2 linked regions of the Lytechinus pictus genome follow. The protein of the gene in region 1 purifies or fractionates together with the protein of each later gene. This does not show direct contact. Links are inferred from orthologs where the notes say so. Each region holds a gene or a part of one and is shown in the gene's direction. Other genes may lie near its edges.

Region 1 (11,343 bases):
GAAAGACCTCCCCATCACATTAAGTGTTTTCCTTGCTGACGACCGGTGGCCACACAATATTCACCTTTGTTTTCAAGAAACGGAGCACTGGCCTTCAGTGCATCCTGAACCTCCTGGATCCTCTGTGCTCCATTCTGTGCACCATCACCTTGAGGTTTGATGAGTGGAATATCTTCAAGACCTTCACCTGATACAGCAGTCTGGGCCTTGTTTGATGGCTCTACGAGAGGGCGCTGTTTAGAAGTTTGTGAAGAAGCTTTTCCAGATGATTTGGGTGCGGAACCAAAGAGAAATCCTTTCTTCAGGCCTCCAAAGGACTTGGCTTTAGAGGAAGCTGGTTTGTTGGTCTGAGATGGTGTCTTCTGTAGAGATGGAAGAGTGAAACACATGTAAATACGAGAGTCTCATCTCTTTTGGAATTCTCTAAAATCACAAGGATAGTTTTATGAAACATTCACAATTATAGTTATTGTACACAATAAAATTCCATGCAAACTGCATATATTTTTGCTGTAAAAGTACATGAACATATTTCCATAAAGTTTTCCTGTCAATGTTGCTTCTAAATACTGTTTATAATTCCTCTTTGCAATCTCCATTACTATATGTGCATGTAGCATGTAAGTTTGATCAATATTGATTTTGATTTTATTCTGAACGACAAATTACCAGGGTTTTCAGTGAATTTCAAAATACATGCACGCAAGTAGTGCTCTTATTGTGACATCATTCCTTCGTATAAATCCTGAGAATGGTTAACAGCATAACCACATTAATAACCGTATCTCTTTTAAAGTGATTGGCAAACTTCATTTAAACTTTAAACAGTACAAATTCCTGGGATCTCATTTGTACTTCAAAGATTAATACATGATCTTCTTAACTGCGCTTGGGATTCATAAATCTTTAATTCTTCAATTCTCACACACAGAGCACATTATCTTGTTAAAAGTCGTCTATCTACAAGAGAATAGGCCTCTCATGATAATGAACATGGGTAGCACAAGTGTGAAACACAAGAATCTGATGAATTCAGAATCCTGATGGTTGTCTGCATGCATAGACCATAAGTGGATTGTTAATCAACAAGTGTAACTTGAGAGAAGTTTAGCACATCAATTTTCCTCCAGGGGCCCGTTTCTCAACACCTGGACAAGTTAGTCATATCTTTATCCACCAACCACGGAGATAGTTCCAATCTTACTAAACCTGTTTCTCGAAAGGCTTCCTAACTAGAATACCTTGATATCGATACTATCGGTAAAAAGAGCAGACGAGACGTAGCCTTAGTCATAAAATAGCATAATATTAAAAAAGAAAAATTATGACAAATTTGCAAATATTGTGATGAATTGGGAAATACATCTTTTTAAAATAATGGCACATGCAAATTATGCATCATACATACTTAGACCATGAATATTGGAGCACTCAATTGCTGAGAAAATTAAATTATGAATAAATCACTTCATGACTAGAAAATCACATGTGGACGTTGAGATGGGTACCCCCGGGACATCGAATTTTGATAGTTTACGAAAGTAAACTATAACGGTTTTCTTTGTAAAATGATGATAATTATACGCCCTTCTACGATTCCAAACATCATCAAAATATAGTTTAACAAAAACAAAAATAAATCTTTGAAACTGAAACATACGATTGACATATTCTATGCATGAATTAGAGATATAATTTATCCAAATGTTAATAGGGGTCTGAAAATGACAAATACGAGTCCAGTTATGGATGGCCTGACGTTGTAGAATCTTTATCGATCAAATCATTTTACTATTTCAAACTGAATGGTTTTGTGGCGTTTTACAAACAGTTTTTATAGTTTGTTTTTATTAGAATTATCATTGAATGCATTATTCCACTCGTTTTTGTGATGTAATTTCATACTCTATGATTGATTACCTAAGACTATTATTTTCAAATCTCTAGGCACTTTTGCTTGTCATAGTCTACCCACGTGATGCCACTACGTCATTAAGAAAGAAGTTATGACAGGTTCGGAGGTGTCATAAATATTTAGTGAGGTTGTTGTACCCGATCTTGGTAAAGAGGGCTTCGTGAAACGGTTAGCGGACAAGTAGCTCACTATCTCCGATTTAGTCAAGAAGTTAGACTTATGACGGTGTTGAGAAACGGGCCCCAGAAGTCTGATAATTCACACCACTAAGTGTTCCAACAAGGAAGAGATTTACTTCTGCAAACTACCCCAATGGCATGACACTGAAAAATTATACGTACATGTACCTCAGTCTCTGTTTCCTGTTTTGTAGCTTCCTGTTTTACCCTCTGGCTCTGGGGTTTTTCTTCAACTTTTGGAGAACCATGGACTGATGATGATTTAAATGAAGATGATGATGATGAAGATGAAGCCATGCCCTTTTTATCCTTCATTTTCTGTAGTTGATGAGCTTGTTCCAGAAGGTCACTCATGTCCTCTAAAGGAGGTACCTCTGCATGAAATTTGAAAAAAAAGTTTGTGTGATGAGGTTAATTAGTACAGACCCAGTTTATAATTTGGGGTTTTAAAATAAGAAAATCCATTTATTAGGACAAAAAAACTCTTCGCAGTTCATGGGTTCCGTAACACAAAGGTTAGCAATTAATTGTATGCTTGATTTTGACGACTCATTGTACATAACAGATCATAGATAGATGGTTTATTTGAATCAAAAACATATAAACAATAAGTGTACGAATCTCCATGCGTCGTAGTTTGACAACTAAATTGTGCATTGGATTACAAAAGTATTTTTACATGGTAAACTTTCACATACTATTAATAATGAAACTTAGTATAAGGCAACATTTAACAGTGAGATAAATTAATTCAAATTAAAAAAAGGGATAATAGAGAAGAGAATGAAAATGGAAAAGAAGGAGGATTATAATAAATCGATTAACTTAACATTTACATATGAAATATGTAGCGATAAACAAGTTAGAACATGTCAAGTTCAACCCTGAAAATAATATTTGCATACAGGTATGTGGTTATTGTGAACTAAATAAGCCGATATGAGGTAAAGTTTTGAAAGTGAGTAGGCTATCATGTAAACAAGGTGAAATAATCCTGATTAAAATACAAACTACCATTTCACATCATGCCAGTGGATTGTACATAGTAAACAAAAATAGAAGAGCGGCAAGTTTTAGTCGCAAAATTTGTATTATTACATGTTGAAGTATTACATCATTGCATTTTCAATTTCGAATAAATAATATTATTACAAATGAATTATTACATTATAAAATTACAAAATATTATATCAAAATTTTGTAAACTTATTACAATTATAAAATGTATTCATAATTTCAAATTGAGTAACAAAAACACATTACCAATATTATCAAATCCCGATCGTCAGTCATCAGGTTTGAGTTTATCCTCTATTAACATAGGGTTCAAATAGAATTCAATAATTTTGTCGTGAATGGAATGGGGCTGTTTTTATATCGATTAGTACGGCACCTCGGCTCAACATAATGGTGCGTTTGTCTCAGATTTCGTGTAGGCCTGTCTTCAGTGAACCAGGCATTACCTAGGCCTACTTCAGTTCTAGATGCTTTGATTGAAAAGTTATTTCTCAGACTCAGAGACCTATATAAAGCCAAGGGGATTACTATTTACTGGCACAAAACTGCTCCTAATATAAAAAAATAATACATAACATACCTTCAGCATTGAATTCCTCCATTGTTTTGTTTCAGAGACAGAGTGTCGTGGGCGTGGGTATGTTGACTTCTGTCTTTGACTTTGAAATGAAGTCTCGAGTCTCAGTCTATGATCTTCTTGGCAACACCATCAACAAAACTTCAAAAGGCACAATCACAAGAAGATAAATATGATGAATCTAAAGTGTTTTATACAACACATGTATAGATCCTTGACAGCTGATTGGATGAAAGCGTGTCACATGACATTCAGACGAATCAGCTATAGCACGCTAAGATATGCTAGCCGTGCTATAGTCGACTTTTGCACGCTCGTGCTATAGTCGACTATAGCACGCTGAAGTATTTAAAATGAGCCAGCACTGCAAGATCCCTGGGCACACTGAACCCATGGACATGCCCCGTACACGTTAAGTGAATTAGCGGTATACGCGCGTAATCACGTTTTCGTATCTCTGACCGATGTACGTAGCACTGCGCATAAACGTTGCTAAGCTGAACACAATGCGCGTACGTACGTTGCTAAGCAAATTATTCCCAGGGTACGACTGCGTACCTTCTGGATTTCCTTCTGGATTTTATGGAATTCGTTCACAAATTTGACCTCATGGATCTATCTATGTTGAAAGTACTTGACTCTCCTGGGATTATTAGTTTAAATCTACTGACTCCCAAAAAACAACATTGTAAGCAAAATTAAAGACCTAACGCGCGTTAGTCATAAACTAGACCTATGGATCTAGCCTATCTAGTCTGAAGTGTAAGCTATCGGTGTTGTATAAAACAAATATTCAATGTTGTATTCGTGCGACGTTCCGAATATTACATTCGTTGCAAGTTGAAACAGTCTATTCAACTCCGCTTCGCGTCGTTGAATAGACTGTTTCAACTTGCACACTCATGCAATATTCGGAACGATCGCACTCATCAACTTTGAATATTTGTATAATAACTAGTAGTTGAATGATAGATCCAAATAGGCAATAGAAGTAAGAATAGGCATGATAGGAATGATAGGACAGCTCGACAGGACAAACATGAAACAATTCAAAAGTCAAGATTATTTAATTATAGGGGCCTAGAATTTCAAAAATTTCACAACACAATGTGCTTGTGACGCTGACGAGTTTATTCAAATAAATAAGATAGTGAATTATCTAATAACTCGGTAGAAATTGGGGGCGACTTACATGGTGTAGCTAATTGTGCCGGACGTCATGTACTGTGCGCTGCAAGCTCCAGCGGAATTCGTAGTGCGCGTCGCGCCAGCCGCCGCCCGGTCGGCCGGCTTCGACTCGCGCTCCAGCTTGCTTGGGTATATACGGTAAAGGCTGGGTCCACGACGCTGGTGCCAGTCATGGCAACGTAACTCCTCCCTCTTTTATTTCGGGGAACTCCCCGCTCTGCTCAGTTTGGAAGGAAGAGTGGATGGAGGGTGGAGGGTGGGGTGGTCGTAGCGGATCCGGTAGTGGGTCGGCAATATAGTCATGGCAGTAGGCCTACCTCTTTTGCCTATCAGATCTTTTTATTTCATTTTTTTAATTATCAGTATTTTTTTTGGTAAACCATTTTTTTTTTACTCTGCATTCAATCTCCGGGGGAGGGTCATTAAAAAGGGGCTTATCCAGGGTCGAAATGGGCCTTAACATTAGCATGTTATTATTTTTTCAATGACCAATTTGTCTCTATACAGTGAGAAACTTTAGAGGTGCGACTTATTTAAATGACAAGTCCACCCTAACGGGACCCTAACAAAAGTTGTTTTAAATTGAAAGATGAAAATCCAACCAGTACAACACTGAAAATTGTATCAAATGGAGTAAAAGAAGTGACGTTTTAAAGTTCGGTATTGATGACATCGCTAACTGACTATTTCTTTTGTATTTCGAATGAAATGTGAAATATTTCAAATTCTCCTCGTTGTCATGTGAAACAAAAGTTTTATTCGTCCCTGAACATGTGTAATCACCAATGTTTTAACAATTTGTGGATCTTTCAAGTTTGTCATTATTGCCAAAGAAAAAAGGAATACAAAATTGTGCAATTCAAACAATAAAAAATAGGGAGGGAGGCCATCATCGACTCTCTCATTTTCACATCACTAAGTTATGGGTGTAGGCCTATATTACAACTGGTTTTTTTTAATAAGCGAAACTTCATATGGCATAATCCTCATGGCTGAATTTAATTCGGCATAATGACTATGCTTGTTTGATTATTCTCTATTGATTCAAATCAATTAACACTTTTATGAAATGGACTTAACCTTTAAGAATGCAAAAGAATTCTGGACCCAGACTCCATGCAGGTCTAAACAAGTAGCGGATCCAGGGGCGCCATTTTTACACAAGTGTGCCCCCCCCCCTTATTTGGAAGTCGGGGAACCCTTTTTTGGGGGGTGTTATCAAATTCTGGACGAAAAGCCCTTCAATTTTAGGTGAAAAACCTTTTTTTTTTTCTTGCGGATCAAATGACATTTATTTTTAGATGAAAACCTTTTAGGGATCCGTCCCTGGTCTTAACTATAATGCTTTCAGGGATTCGGACGCCCGACCCCCTCTGACCCTCCCACCTTTGAGAGTCATAGTCAAATGTTATTTTTTAATGTAAATACGCTGTTCTTACGCAAGTGTGCTCCCCCTTTCAAAGTTACAACAAATATAACTGAAGACCTTTTTGTTACGTGAACAAAATGATCTTCAGTTTTTAGTGAAACCTTCTTTTTTTCTTTTCTATTTTTTTTACTTGTCAAATTTTCCTCGGGAAAATTTACCCCCCCCCCCCCCTCCTTGGGAAATCCTGGATCCGACCCTGCAACGGTCATACTCACTCGATCTCCTTACACATCGACGGTATCAGTGCTCACCAAAAATTGGTCGAGGTGGGAAGTAGGGTAATGAGCCAAATTTAGGAGGTCAAACCCAAACTCGTGGAGGCCCTACTGAGACAAAACTGAAAAAAATTCACGAGCGAGGGAGCAAAAACATGATTTTGTGCTAATTTTGTGATAGATTTTGACAGTAGGGGCCTATATAATCCTTCACTATAGGACCTAGCTTAATGGGAGGTTTCCTTTTCATTCTCCCCTCATTTATAGGGGTCGTGCGCGAGGTTTTATATCCCCTTCTGTAAGCCACTATTGTGAAAGGGGACAGTTTCGTGGGTCTGTTGCCCCCATGCAAATTGCCCCCTCCCCTAAAAATAAATAAATTGATCTAAAAAAATAATATATAAAAATGTGTTTATATGTGCAAAGAGATTCATGTGGCTGTATATTTTTCAATTATGATGATATAGAATAAACTGATTCATATATGTTATTCTTACTATAAGTAGGCCATATATAGGCCCTATTTCATGAACGCCGGTGTCACTACAATAATGGATTCGCATGCATTGCAATTTTCAGCGCCAAGCAAGCGAGCGATCCGAGCGAGCTAGATCGCCTATATTGAATTCGTGGATTCAAGCCTGAGGAAAACTGGAAAACGTGAACAGCTGTTGGATTATGCGTTCATTGTACCGCTGCTAAGGCTGCTATTTTGATCTTAAAGGTAAAATTATTCGATTCAGGAATTCGAATTAATATGCGTATGATTGCTCACTTAAATTTTGTAGTTTGTTCGACAATTTATGGCATTTATCATGAGTGCAAAATAATTGTCAAGAAAACTCAGTCCCACATGCGTAAATTTGTGTTGTCTCCTTCTGGCAGTTCTGCCATTCTTCTGCCTAGCCTGCGGCTGCGCTGGTGATGTATACTAATACTAACCTCGCAATACGTGTGTGAGTGCTGGTGATGAGACAATGATGATGTCTTTTTAATGATAATGGTTGATGGCAGTAATCCTTATATAAATGGTGATGAATATGATGGAAATGATGATTATGTGGTGATGATGAATATGATGGTCACGTGCACTCACACGTATTGCGAGGTTAGTATTAGTATACTAACCTCGCACCACGAACCGCGTTTGGCAGTGGATTTCTAACTAGTGGGTCGCGCGTGCTGGGATCTCACTTCTTGGGTCCACAACACACGACTTCTATGGCTTGATTTTTCTGTGCGCGGCGGCATGTAATGAACCCTTGGGTGGGTCACGTGATGACGATGGTGGTAATGCTAATGATGATCATGATGACGATGGTGATGATGAAATTGATGATATGGTGATGATGGTGGTGATGGTGGTGATGATGATGATGATGATTGATGATATATAACAATTTTTAACATGTTGATAATGACTATGAATATGCTGGAGATGAATGATGATGATGGTTGGTGGCAGTAATCCTTATAAATGGTGATGAATATGATGGAAATTATGATAATGAAGATGATGGTGATGGTTGTGATGATGATGATGGGCAGTTCCAGGGTTACGGAGTGACATTCAGAAACAAGTTTTTAGCATTCAAACAAAGATATCACCCATATTTAAATATTTATTTGCAAAGAAATGGTACCTGACAGTAGTTGCTGAAACCCACTTTTCAAAATAATAACATATTTTGATCCACTGAATTAAATGAGATATGAATATTCATAATCATGGTTACGGAGTGACGGAAAATGGACATGCATATTTGAGGAGAAAAATATATTGATCAAACGCTGTGAACTTTAAATGGCTATCACAATGTTGAGTTATTGATTGGATTCTATGTTCTAGCTTTAATATGCTGCATTACATTAAAAAATTTGTGTATTTTTTCATTAATTACAACTTAAAACATAAACCCCATACCCGGTTACGGAGTGACATCTGAAATATTCACACACAGGCAACGTAAAATGAACTTATATTTAGAAATTTTCTTTTGATATGATGTAAAAATGATTACCTTCAGATTATCGAAAAGAAAATTTTACAAAACAAGCAATAGTTTTCTGTTAAATTGAAATTAAGTAAAAAACAATATATGTAGTCCCATGTATAGAATTTTTTTGTATGGTTTGGACTTTGGATTCTCCTATAAGGAGATGCATAAGAAAAAAAAATTGTGGCTAATTATGTTCCCCTTCTGTATTTATGAAATCCCATATGAGTTTTAATAGAAAAGTTTGCTCCAGATTTAAAATAGAGCCAATATAAATTTTTGGAAAATGTCCAGTTTTGCTTGGAATTGCCCTGATGATGATGATGATGATAGATTGTGAATGGTGATTATGATGATGATATATATCATGAATCTAGTGATGGAAATTGTGATGATACTTTGTCTTTAAACATAAGGAAATTAAACATTTTTAATGCTTAGTATTATATTTCCAGTTTATCTATTTGTATTGTTTAAGACTTAATTTTTAGCTTACACTGTACATACTGTGTTTCTATCAGAGCTTGATACATCAAATTTCAAAAGCAGTATGCAAGTACATACATGTACATGTGTCCAGCATTGAAAATACACAGGAGCGAGTTCTAATTCCAAAATTTTTATCATAACTTTAAATAAACAGAGCCAATAAGATTTTGGAAAATATTCACTTTGCTTGGAATTGCCATCTACACAGATCTACTTTTTGACCAAGTTTATTTTTCTTTGTGATTATTAAGTATTTTACGGCTATCTAATGTGCCCAATAATCCTAAAATTGGCAACATAGAGCGTAGCATGGTAGCAGAGGTATAAAATTTCTACAGATTGGAAATATAAAACCTTCAAATAAAAAGTCAAATCACCCCAGAAAAATGTTGATTTGAATCAATAGAGAAAACTCAAACGAGCATAACGCTGAAAATTTCATAAAAATCGGATGAAAATGAGAAAGTTATGATATCTTAAAATTAGGCTATGATTATTTTTCACCAAACAGTTGCATTGTATACACAACTCAATGCGATGCAAACGACAGAGTCGATGATGTCCCTTACTATTTTTTTTTATTGTGGTATATAATATTACAATTTTTACAGATTTGACAATAAGGACCAACTTAAATGAACTACAAAATATTAAAACAAAGGTAATTCTACATGTTTATCAAGGACATCTTTGTTTGACATGACAATTGGGAGAAAATTAAAAATATAATTTTTCATATGATGATATACATGTAGTTGGTGATGTCATCAGTCCCCCCATTTGCGTACCGACCAAGATGTGCATAACTGTTTGGTGAAATTAATAAAAACTTTACAATGATGTCATAAATTTCTTATTTTTCATCCAATTTTGATGAAATATTCAGTGTTATGCCTCTGATTTTTATCCTTTTGGATTTGTCTTTTAAAGGGATGGTCCAGTCTGGATATATTCATATCTCAATAAATAAGAGTAAAATTTACAGAGCAAAATGCTTAAAATTTGATCAAAATCGGATAACAAATATAAAAGTTATTGAATTTTAAAGAGTTGCATTATTCCGGTGAAACAGTTCTAGGTATGTCTTTATGAATATTCATTAGGTGTGCTGATGATGTCATATCCCCACTTGTTCTTTTGTATTTTATATTAAGTTTATTTAAAAAAATCTACCCCCCAAAAAAAAAGCCTAATTGGATTGACAACTGATTAAGTGCATTAGTTATTTATTGCCCCAACTTATTTCATCATAATGGAACACATCATTTACACATTATGAAAAAATGAAACATTTATGATTTCATGTAATAACATATAAAAAAGGGAAAGTGGGGATGTGACATCATCAGCCCACCTAATGAATATTCATGACGATGTGCATATAACTGTTTTCACAAAATATTGATAAACTTTAAAATTCAAGAACTACGTTATTTTTTATCTGATTTTGATGAAATTTTCAGCATTTTGCTCTGAATTTTACTCTACCGGTATTTATTTACATGTAGATTTTGAAGAAATTTTCAGCATTTTGCTCTGTGAATTTTACTTTATTTATTTACATGTAGATATAAATATTTTCAGCCCGGACCATCCCTTTTAAAGTGTAAAGACATGCCATATTTGTCATTATTTACTGCAAACTTGCAAAATGTTTTGCTTTAATACTTTAATTTTGCTTTAATATTTTGAGGAAGTTCATTATGAGTGTCAAACTGCAATTTGTACAATGCTCTTCAGTTGCAGTTCTAAAATAATTTTGGTAGTCCTGAAATCTTACTAAGTCTTGCATAATTCTGCTTTTGTACATTCTGAAGCTTTCCTTGGAAAGACGATAATGAAATGAGTTACCAGTAGTCTGTCCTCAAGTACCCAAAGATCTGTTGACCTGACCTGACCCGACCTCACTGACCTGATCATGGAGGGGTTGTTTGGACAGATCCTTAAGGAGGCAACATCAAACAAGCATGCAGCTATACGAGAGGCCGTCAGCCAAGCACAAGGTATAGCATTGTCCTAGATACATTGATAAGTATTCTCAATATTATTTGTATACATTGTTATTCATTAATTTTTTTTTGCCTATGAATGTCTGGCTACAAAGAGCCAAGTGTGCTTTTCAATCATATTTTAAAATCAATTAAAACCTTCAAAGAAGATACATTTGACTATCAATTAGTGCTTCATACATGTATATCCTGGTCATGTAACACAAAGGTTAGAGATTAATTGTAAGCTTGATTTTCATGATTGATTGTACATTGTAGTCAATGGAATCAGTCGTAGAAAAATATTCTACGATCATTGCTAAGCTTTGTGATACAAGCCCCTGGTCAT
Region 2 (10,607 bases), on another chromosome or scaffold:
GTGCCGGGATGGTCGCGAAAGTAAGTGAGCTTTCGGGTGCTCAAAAGGAGGATAAAATCGGAAGGAAGAGGAGATGGAAGTGAAATGAAGGAATGGAATAGAATAGGAAGAGGAAGAGTAGGATGAAGAGGAGGAAGATAACAAATGGATAATAGATGTAGGAGAAGAAAAGGAGGAGGAAGAGGAGGAGGAGGAGGAAGGATGGAAAGAGGAAAAGAAGGAAGAGGAGAAATAGATCAAGTAAGAGGAACCAAATAACAGATACAATAAATGCATGTAGGAGAAGAAAAGAGGAGGAGTAAGGGAAGGGATAATGGAAGGGAAGATGGGATGGGAGGAGGGAGGAAGAGGGAAAGGGAAAGGGAAAGGAAAATTGTACAGGAGAGGAGGGGGAGGATAAAGGGAGTTATAAAAAAAGCAGAGGAGGAAGAAATGTCTTATTTCCACTTCAGAAATTAATATTCCTTTCTATTTTCCAGTGTTCTATACTCTAAAGGGGGATAGTTATGGCAGCTTATCACGGTTGCATGATATATCAGTTCAGTTTGGAGGTGGGAAAATCTATTGCATTGTTCTTTTTTTATATGACAGAATACCAGCTGTTTGCATTTGTAAGTCACATGGGTACATCTACAGCATGCGGTCACTATGTATGCCATATCAAGAAAGAAGGAAGGTAAGGTAGTCCTTCTAATCATTTTTCCATGACAAAACAAAATGTGTAGAGAGTTTGCTGATGAAAATTATGTTCAAATTGATTATTATAGCATCCTTATTTCATATTCACGGATGTTGGTACAATAAAGAGTCACACTTTTCTCTATCTTCATTATGATTGACCAAAGCAAGATACTGTACATAAAAGCAGAGAATTAAGGTAGCTAAGTTGCCAATTTTTTAAAGATATTTAAAAAAAACTATGTCCTATTCATTTCAATCTTTACTTGTTTTGTATTTCCATTTTTTCATTTGTTTAAAAAACTTTATGTTCATTTGGTGTTCTCTTTTATGTTGATTTGCTGTCTTATGTGTATTTTACCTGAATTCAGAAAAATATATAGAGAAAGCTGAAGATGAAAACATTGAAATCAAATGTGTGATATCAAAGTTATGGTATTATATAATTTTGCATTATTTTAGGAGATAGCGATATGCATAAAATCGGGCAAACATATAATGTGTTACACAGTGTCATAAGAGCAAGCTGTCATTTAGCTCAACTATGTTACATGGATGAGATGCCCCCATAAGCACGTCTCCATTTCACATTTCTATGCTTTTGAAATAATGGAACCATTTTCTTTATATCACGTAATTCCTTAATTTTCTTTTCTATTTTCCAGATGGGTGATCTTCAACGATGACAAAGTTGCGCAATCAGAAAAACCACCGAAGGACCTGGGATACATCTACGTCTACAAGAGGCTTTAAAAATCTCCCAGGGCCGTGTAACATGAACCTTAGCGATTGATCATGTGAACGATTTCTATGATCGATTGCATTGACTTCTGTGTATGAGCAATCGTAAAAAAATCAGCCTCATAATCAGTTGTAAAGCTTTATGTCACAGGCCCAGAGCTCAGAGGCGCATTGTGATCAGTAAAACAAGTCAGGGTAGACCATATTCATGGACTGACGGAGAACAAACAGTAAACTATGCCTAACACAAATCAATATTACTTACAGAAATAGCTTCGACTAGGAAGAAATTTTAGCTACGTGAGATTCAAAATAAACTGCTCAGATGGGTGTTTCATAAAGCAGTTTGTAACTTACGAATGACTTTACACATGATGGATGACCCTTCCTTGTACTAAATGGAGCTGACTTAGTACCTGAGAACATGTTCTAGTCCTTTGTAAAATCGTGCATAAATTTTATAAGAACATCTTCATGAATCACCACCTCAAGTAGCAAAAAGATGCAATGGATGAAAATTAGATATCCTGTGAGAAAAAAAACATGCTTCTTTCAGAATACACTGATGTCAATGTATTATCATGTATTGCCTGACGTATCGCCAGATCCACGACACATGATGGCGCCTCCACTGGCGTCATGTTTTACATGTACCATTAAGTATGCAGTTTCAAAATATTTTAGCACAATGGAAAACATTGCTGCGCATTCTTGCATCATATCTGAACGAGGGTTTAATAGGATGAGTGTTCATGCATGGAATTTGGCCCTGAAGTAAACATGAAAGAAAAAGTGAAATATCTTTTGGGATGATGGAAATTTGTTCAATTTTGTAGAAATGCAACTTCTAGGGTGTTGGAAGAAACTTGCAAATGATTGCATGTCAATTATAGGTCCTAAAATCGATCAGTTGTCTTTTAATTAATTGCAAATTGGCAATTGATTGGTGGTCTGCATCTTGCATAAACAAAATGAATTAATTTGCTTTGGTTATGATTGATCTATCAAATGTGAATTTGCAACTGAAATAATATTAATATACCTCTTCAGAAGAAGAGATATATTATTGAAAATGTGAGAGTTGTATAACTTTGTGATCAATATGAAATATTTATGAGAAAAAAATGACTTTGAACTGAATATATACATATAAAAAACAATGTTCTATTTACAAATGAGGAACAAATAATACTCTTTGAGATGAACAACGTCAACTGAAAGTATTTAAAAGAGCTGCCCTTCCCTCACAGGATGTGTGGAGGTATAATTCATGCAACAGTATGATTGTTAAAAACTGACAAAGCCCTCTAGTGAGCAATTTAAAATAATAGGTAACTGTAGTAAATAGGGGAAGATATACATTGGTGCTCAAAAGTTAGTGAACCCTAGTAGAAAATGAACATATTGAAAGTGTTCAAGTTTACCATGTTTCAGATATTTTATTGTGAAGTCAAGTGATGAAATATTACATTCAATCAAAATTTGTTTCTCTGGGCTTGCTGAACGTTGTAGTGTTGTTGCCTACATTCAACACTCAGCATGAAGGAGTGCATTTTGTGGTGGGGTTCACTAACCTTTAGGCACAACTGTATCTAATACATGTACGAGTAATTTTGCTTTAGTCAATCAAAACTTTTGAGAGCTCAAAAATCTGTTCAACTTTGGAGAAATTTGCTAAGAATCGGTATTTGATACATATTTTGCACATATAATGTGGTAAAAAAAATTGTTTTAAATTGGGCAAATATTTGACGCCAAGAAGGTTAACTTATGCAAGGTTATCTGATTCATATACTAGTAGTCGAAGGGATGTATCCAAGATGTCTAATGAAGAAGATTACAGATAATATTTTGTTGGTAGGTATTTTGCAACAAATTTTGTCAATTTAAGAACTCCTAGTTGGTTACAAAGTGCCCCCCGTATAAGTCACACTTACTCTCTGTCCATGATAAATTGTGATTGATTTTAGTCCATCTCAAGAAGACCAGTGTTGCTGTCAGTAATGTCTTCTTTTGATCAAACAGTTGCTCTGGGGTGATGATGTTTGCTGAACGATTTTTGACAGTCTACATGCTCCTTTTAGTAATGATAATGGTGATGAATGATGATGGTGATTCTGATGTCAGATGATGATGACGACGCCAATGTTTCTTCCAGGCAGTTAGAAATGTCCAAAGATAATGAAAATAAGTTTAGCATGTCTTGATTATTGACGAAGGAATTTTCCACTCACAGCTGATTTTGTTTCTTCATCTTGATATTTGAACAGACCTTTCCATTTAAACAAAATAAAATTTACCATACAGGCATAAACCAGAAAAGTGATTGTTTTGAGAGATGTCCATCTATCACTAAAAGGGCTTTCACAATTGCTTGTGCAATGGTCACAATATATGTTGCACAGAATAGCAACGGTTATAAGCAGTCGCACCACCAATTGTGAAAGGGGCTGAATATGTACTTTTTCTATTTTCACAAGCCAAAATGACAAGAATATTTCTCCCTGAATAATTTGAATGTTTTTCTCTTGTAGATTTTCCCAGAAAGCATGGAGAAAATTGTATTGTAGACCTAGCTGATGATGAAAAAAAAATGATAAAAATCAATCGTTTATTGTTCGAAATAGACATGAAATGAAATACTCCGAAAATTTGCTTTGCCCAATCGATCGTGGGCCCGGCAGCCACTGGGCAGCGCCAGATCGACGAGGCTCTATCCCTTTAATCATTTAACGCCAAACAGGATAGCAGCAACTCCCATCTTTTAACGTCTTTTGGTCTGACGCGGCCGGAGTTTGAACCCCAACCTACCGGTTGTGAGACGGACGCTCTACCAACCGAGCCGACACACCGGATGAACATATTAAAGAAGTTGTTTCATTGGGTATTTCAAACAACAATATTTAACAAGATTGCAATGTGTATGTTAGAGGATATGTATACAAACAAATGTTTTATTAAATTGTTACATGTATGTGTATGTGGAATACATTGGGAATATTGTTGCTTGGATTTTGTATATTTCTAATTTTCATGCATTAAATGCAGTACACGTCATGTTTTAAATCTCCTTGTGTATTTGATTTCTAAGCAACTAGTTATACTGGGAAAGAGGTGAGAGAGGCAAGAATAAGCCAGTTCGTAGTTCCTTTCTGCGCATGATCAAAAGATTCTATGCATGATCAGAGGAAGGTCATTTGTACTAATTAAAGTGACATTGTGGTTTAAAATCTAATGAGATAAGCACCAACTTTGATGTCTTGATTATTCATATATTCTTTTGAATTGTTTTTTTTTCATTTACATCCACAAAAAACAACAATGCGTCCACGAACGACTGGTATTTCAGTTTGCCAAGTACATTGTGCAACATGCTATGATTTGCATTCAAGTAGGAATGCAACAAATACCTTCATAAAGTGTTCATTGGTCTGCTATTCTAGTCACCTGGTCTGTTCAATTTCTTCATCCTGCTATGTAAGGCAAGCTTACGTAATATCTTGCTTTGAAATCTGCCTATCATAATGAAAGAAATGAAAGGTCATTTGACCAAAATTGTCCATGGTGAAGTAACTACGAACTGGTCTATTGGAAGAGTGAAATATTTTTTAAGAGAAATATAGAGAGGTGAGGGGAAAGAGGAGGGGGGATATGGGAGGGAGGGGGGGGGGGGGCAGGGGAGAGGGTCAGGGACAAGGAGGGAGGGATAGAGACAGAGTGAGAGAGATAGAGGCAGAGAAATAGAGAGGTAGTGTTGAAGTACGAGGATGGGTGCAGAGAGGAGAAGGAAGGGGATGGGATGGAAAAATACTCGGATGAGAAAAGAAAAAAAAATGTTTATATGAACTTTCTATATCTTATTAATGAGTTAGTTAATTGTTTTTTTCTTTCTTCCAGCTATTGGCTCTATAAAGTTATCCTAGCATTTCTATTATCAGATAGACTACGGTAGATATGCCAAACAAAAACGCAAGTCTGAAACTCTGATTAATAAGTAGGCTTGATAATGTCTGAGTCTGTACTGACTGCAGATCGACCCAACAATTAAAGTTATATAATTTGTTATTTCAAAATTTTTAAGTGAAAATTATTATTACTCGTCTGAAAAACTTATTATATCGTCTGTCTGGAGTCAGTTTCGATGGCGGGCATGAAGCGATCAAACATATTATATATAATGAAAAGTGTAACCCCCGGTAGGGGTAGGTTCCATGTCTTGGCCTATGCAATGATGAAAAAGAAGGGGGTATGATGAAATATAAAGAAGCAAACGCGGAGTATACACAGCCAATCTATGTAACAGTCTATTTTGTAATACCAATTTCTAATTTTGGGGTGAATGAATTATTGATACAAGATAACCATACAATCAAAGTTACATTGATAAGATTTACTGAAATATTGAAATTATATTTACATGTTTTTTTCCCGTAGCTTCTCTTATTTTACTTTTTGTATGTGTTTGAAATTAATTTCTTTCTTACACATCGAAAAAAGTTTGCAAATAAAGTCTACCTACCAGATTGCGCATGCGTGAATTACTATGAGCGGTTACGTGACTATGAATAAAGCCATGTGTGTGTTATGCCAGTAATATCGTAACACAACACAAAACATAGCGGGTGGGACTGCATTACTGAATTACAGCGACTAGTCACTAGTAGCACAGTGCATCGGCGTCACCGAAGGTCAGCAAAGATGGCCCAGAAAATTGGAGATTTGCTTGGAAGATTAGCTAAAGGACCCGCAGGACTTGGAAAAGGAGTTCAATTCCTCATTGGGGCAGGAGTAATAGGTTATGGAGTGAAGGAATCAGTTTACACAGGTGAATCGACGGTGCACGATTTTTATTTTCAATTTTTTTTTTAAATTAGGGTCTAAAACTGGTTTCGCACTCTAGATTCGACTTGTTTCAAGTCAACATTCTTTCAATCATATTGATGCAGGGTGACCAGATTTTACGAAATGAAATACGGCGCAATCGATAAAGCACGATGCACGCGTGGATCAACAGAGTCAGAGAGGAAAAGAAAGAAAATGAAGGGGGAAAAATAAATAAAAAAAAAGAAAGTTAGACTTAGATTTTAATTTTAGAATAAAACAAAGAAAGATGAAAGAATAAAAGAAAGAAAAAGGTTTCCGTCATTCTTTGAAATGAATAAAAAAGAAAAAGAAAAAGAAAAGAAGGGAAGATCAAGATGAATGAATGTATACATGTATTTGAATGTGTGAAACTGAAAGAAAAAAAAAAGGAGAGAAAGCCAAGGACATGAACCCGGGGGGGGGGGGGGGGCACTTACATTGACGAGTGGATACCATGCGCGACCAAAAAAACGTGAAAAGGATGTCTTTTTCAAGATAGGGCACGTTACGTACGTAACGTGATAAGGGTGTCAAAAACACTAAAATAATGAAAAAAGGGTATCTATTTCGCTAGGAAAGTTACGTGTTTACGTGTTTTTTTGGTCGCGCATGGTATCCACTCGTCGATGTAAGTGGCCCCCCCGGGGTACGACCCCTAGCTTCCACACCTCGTGCAAATCGGACTCTAAACACGTAGTGTTGGGGCAAAAAGGACATCCTTTATAAAACATTTTAATTTTGTTTTATCATCCCCGCAAATTTGACCCAGTTTAGGGTCAAATTTGCGGGGATGATAAAACAAAATTAAGGAGTCATCACTATGTGTTTATAGAGTACGATTTGCACGAGGTGTGAGGAGGTGGCCGGGCTGTACTAAACCCAATGATGTATAGGTAAAGGTCCGTGGCATATAATTTAAATATCGCTATACTTGTTTAGGGCCTAGGGGTTCAATTCAGGGAATACTTGCCAAGAGTATCGTTTTGTTTCCAATACTTGTTAAGGGTAGGGTTTCACACGCCAATACTTGTTAACGGGTGCATTTTCAGAATATGGAAATTACGTGTTTAGGGTGCTTTTCGAGACCCCATGTGGTTGCGCATGGTATCCACTCGTCAATGGAAGTGGCCCCCCCCCCCCGGGACATGAACAGTACTAGGCGCTCTGCCAATGGGACTTGGGAGACTCTCCATTACACGCACATGAATGGGGCGTAATCCCTGGCTCCGTGCGTGAAGAGTAAGCACACATTAGTGAATGATTTTTACTCTCTAAAAAACATTAGGAGCCTCTTGGGAGTCCTGGCTACCCTCACCCCCCCCCCCCCCCCCCCCCGAGATGAGCCTCAGCCTAGCCCTAGGCCCTAGCGCCTCTCAGCGCAGGCCGTGACCGTGATGCCATCAATCTCCCAAATTGGAGACTTGCTTTGCAAACGAACAAAAGAAACAACATTAACAAAAGTGGAATTTTTTCCACCCAAAATTTTGCCTCACTGAGGTCAGAAGCCCATTTGTTTTGTGTGTGGATGACAACAAAAATCCTTACCAAAACAAAAGTAGATGTTGAATTTTCAAAGTAGACGGTGAAAAGGGGTAATTTTTCATGAGGAATCTGCTCATCACAGTTTTATTTGCCGCCAAGCTAACCCTTTTGCAGCAAATGTAAACAAAGAAAGTTGGTCTCCCAAACTGGAGACTGTCTCTGAAATTGGTCTTTTGGATACCCAAATTCTTTACAAAAGTCTCTGATATTGGAGATAATCTCTCTCATGGGAGACAGTCTCCCATATTGGCCGTGCACCTCTACTGATGAAGGAAAAAGAAAGTAGGCCTAAGAAAAAAAGGAGGAAGAAATGAGTAAAGTAAAACGTTTACTTCATTCTTTGAAAGAAACAAAGAAAAAAGACAAACAGGAAAGGAGCCGAAGGAAAAGAAAGATGAGGGAAAAGAATTGAAGGTTAAAAAGGATGAAAGTATGAAGGGAGGAGAGAATGAAAAAAAAATGGAAGGAGAGAATAAATGAAAAGAAAAAGGAGTGGAAGTGAGAAGGAAGCAAAGAAAAGTTTAAGAAAAGAAAGAAGGAAATTAAATAAAGGAAATTCAAAAAAGAAGGAAAAATGAACATATAGATAATAGAGAAATTATTAGGATAAAAAGCTAGCTGCTAGGAAAGATTGGAAATAAAGATAGATTGAACAAAATAGGCAAGCAGGAAGGATAGAAGGATGAAGAAAAAATTAAGGATACAAAAAAAAAAAAAAAAAGAGAAAGGAAAAAAGTTCAAACTTCAACCAAAGCAAAAAAAAAAAAATTTAAAAATTGTTTGAAAACTAAAATGTTTTAGAAATGAATAAAATTTCAAAGTGTAACATTGTCAAACTTAATGAGATGAAACAATCGCGGCATCACACACACAGCCATCTCTCATCCCATTACAAGTTTGCACCGATCACAACAAGACTCAAAACGAAAGCTGAAACAACAAGATCTGAAAACTCAATAACTTGCTCCTCTGATTACATCACCAAATCAGTAATCTGAGAAGCCATAATATAATTGTAAAAATTTCCCAACGATTTTGTGATTATTTTTGGTGGAAAACTGTTTATCATGTGAGATTGTTTGTACCATTGAGAATCTGCTCCAATCCTACATAGCCTGCCACACACAGGCAGATGGCCAGTGCAGGCCACTTGCATGCAGCATAGATCAAGTTAGATTTTTCAGTCTTGTGGATATCATCTAGACCTGGCTGTGGTGTAGACTGACATTACTTAAATATCTGCTGTTTCGGAGGAATTTTTCTTAACATTTTCTGATTTTTTCAGTCCTCCCAAGTCCAACATGACAAAGACAGAAGACTCCCATAGGTTCGCTTGACGCTTAACTATGTCGGGAAAAGGGTACGCTACCTCACCCTCTGTGATTTCTCTAAAAAAATCTTGCTTTTAGTGCCTGGGGGCTGGGAGAAAAAAAGCGCCGATATAAAAATTAAACATGTTATTTAAATTTAAGAACAATCAGCTTACAGGTTTCTCGAAATATGTGATGTAAAATCAACATTTTTGTCTCACCTGCATAGCAGAGTGAGACTATAGGCGCCGCTTTTCCGACGGCGGCGGCGGCGTCAACACCAAATCTTAACCTGAGGTTAAGTTTTTGAAATGACAGCATAACTTAGAAAGTATATGGACCTAGTTCATGAAACTTGGCCATAAGGTTAATCAAGTATTACTGAACATCCTGCCTGAGTTTCATGTCACATGACCAAGGTCAAAGGTCATTTAGGGTCAATGAACTTAGACCATGTTGGGGGAATCAACATCAAAATCTTAACCTAAGGTTAAATTTTTGAAATGTCATCATAACTTAGAAAATATATGGACCTAGTTCATGAAACTTATACATAAGGTTAATCAAGTATCACTGAACATCCTGCATGAGTTTCACGTCACATGACCAAGGTCAAAGGTCATTTAGGGTCAATGAACTTTGGCCGAATTGGGGGTATCTGTTGAATTACCATCATAACTTTGAAAGTTTATGGATCTGATTCATGAAACTTGGACATAATAGTAATCAAGTATTACTGAACATCCTGTGCAAGTTTCAGGTCACATGATCAAGGTCAAAGGTCATGTAAGGTCAAAGAACTTTGGCCACGTCGGGGGTATTTGTTGAATTGCCATCATATCTCCATAAGTGTATTGGTCTAGTTCATAAAACGTGGAAATACGAGTAACCAAGTATCACTGAACATCTTGTGCGAGTTATAGTAGTTTTCAAAATCAGCACTGCTGCTATATTGAATCGCGTGATGCAGGTGAGACGGCCAGAGGCATTCCACTTGTTTATTCCAGGGAGCTGATGTCAGGTTCGTTGATCATTGTCATGTTTTTAATGCAGATCTCTAGATAAAATATAGATCTACATGTATGTAGAAAAGAAGTAGCGATATGTGCGCCAGTGTTAGTGTATAATTGCATGATGTCTGCCACTGCAATGCACTTCAGTCTAGATCTTTGGAAGGAGAGGATGCCGCAATGCCAGACAAAGTCTCAGCATAGCATATCCTGACCAAAATAGACTGATTTTTGTCTATATTGTGCCCAGATGCAGCTCAGACAGCCATGACTGAGTGAGACTGAGAGGTGCTGGTCCAAAAATTTGGATTGTCTAAAAGAAAAGAAGGATATCCCATTAAAAGATGGACAGATGGCAATTACGGTATTGAGAGTCATGGTTTTATTGACCTGAAAATAACCATAATTTGAATGGACTCTGATATATATATTTTTTTGTATTCTGTAGTGGATGGTGGTCACA

The links.
Region 2: the proteins of brefeldin A-inhibited guanine nucleotide-exchange protein 3-like (region 1) and prohibitin-2-like purify together in Homo sapiens (affinity purification with western blotting; 4 studies listed by BioGRID). This does not show direct contact. The link is inferred for Lytechinus pictus from reciprocal best matches to the Homo sapiens genes ARFGEF3 and PHB2.

The regions. Positions count from the first base shown.
Region 1 is NC_087248.1:3,905,543-3,916,885, reverse strand, and holds the start of brefeldin A-inhibited guanine nucleotide-exchange protein 3-like, read left to right. Parts: upstream 1-7,140; 5' UTR 7,141-7,244; intron 7,245-10,823; 5' UTR 10,824-10,924; coding exon 10,925-11,009; intron 11,010-11,343. Other genes in the region: uncharacterized protein LOC129259162, read right to left, coding at 65-362, 2,257-2,468, 3,692-3,713. UniProt on the Homo sapiens protein: Participates in the regulation of systemic glucose homeostasis, where it negatively regulates insulin granule biogenesis in pancreatic islet beta cells. Also regulates glucagon granule production in pancreatic alpha cells.
Region 2 is NC_087258.1:12,808,525-12,819,131, reverse strand, and holds the start of prohibitin-2-like, read left to right. Parts: upstream 1-5,905; 5' UTR 5,906-6,117; coding exon 6,118-6,244; intron 6,245-10,592; coding exon 10,593-10,607. Other genes in the region: ubiquitin carboxyl-terminal hydrolase 5-like, read left to right, coding at 1-20, 592-676, 1,344-1,431.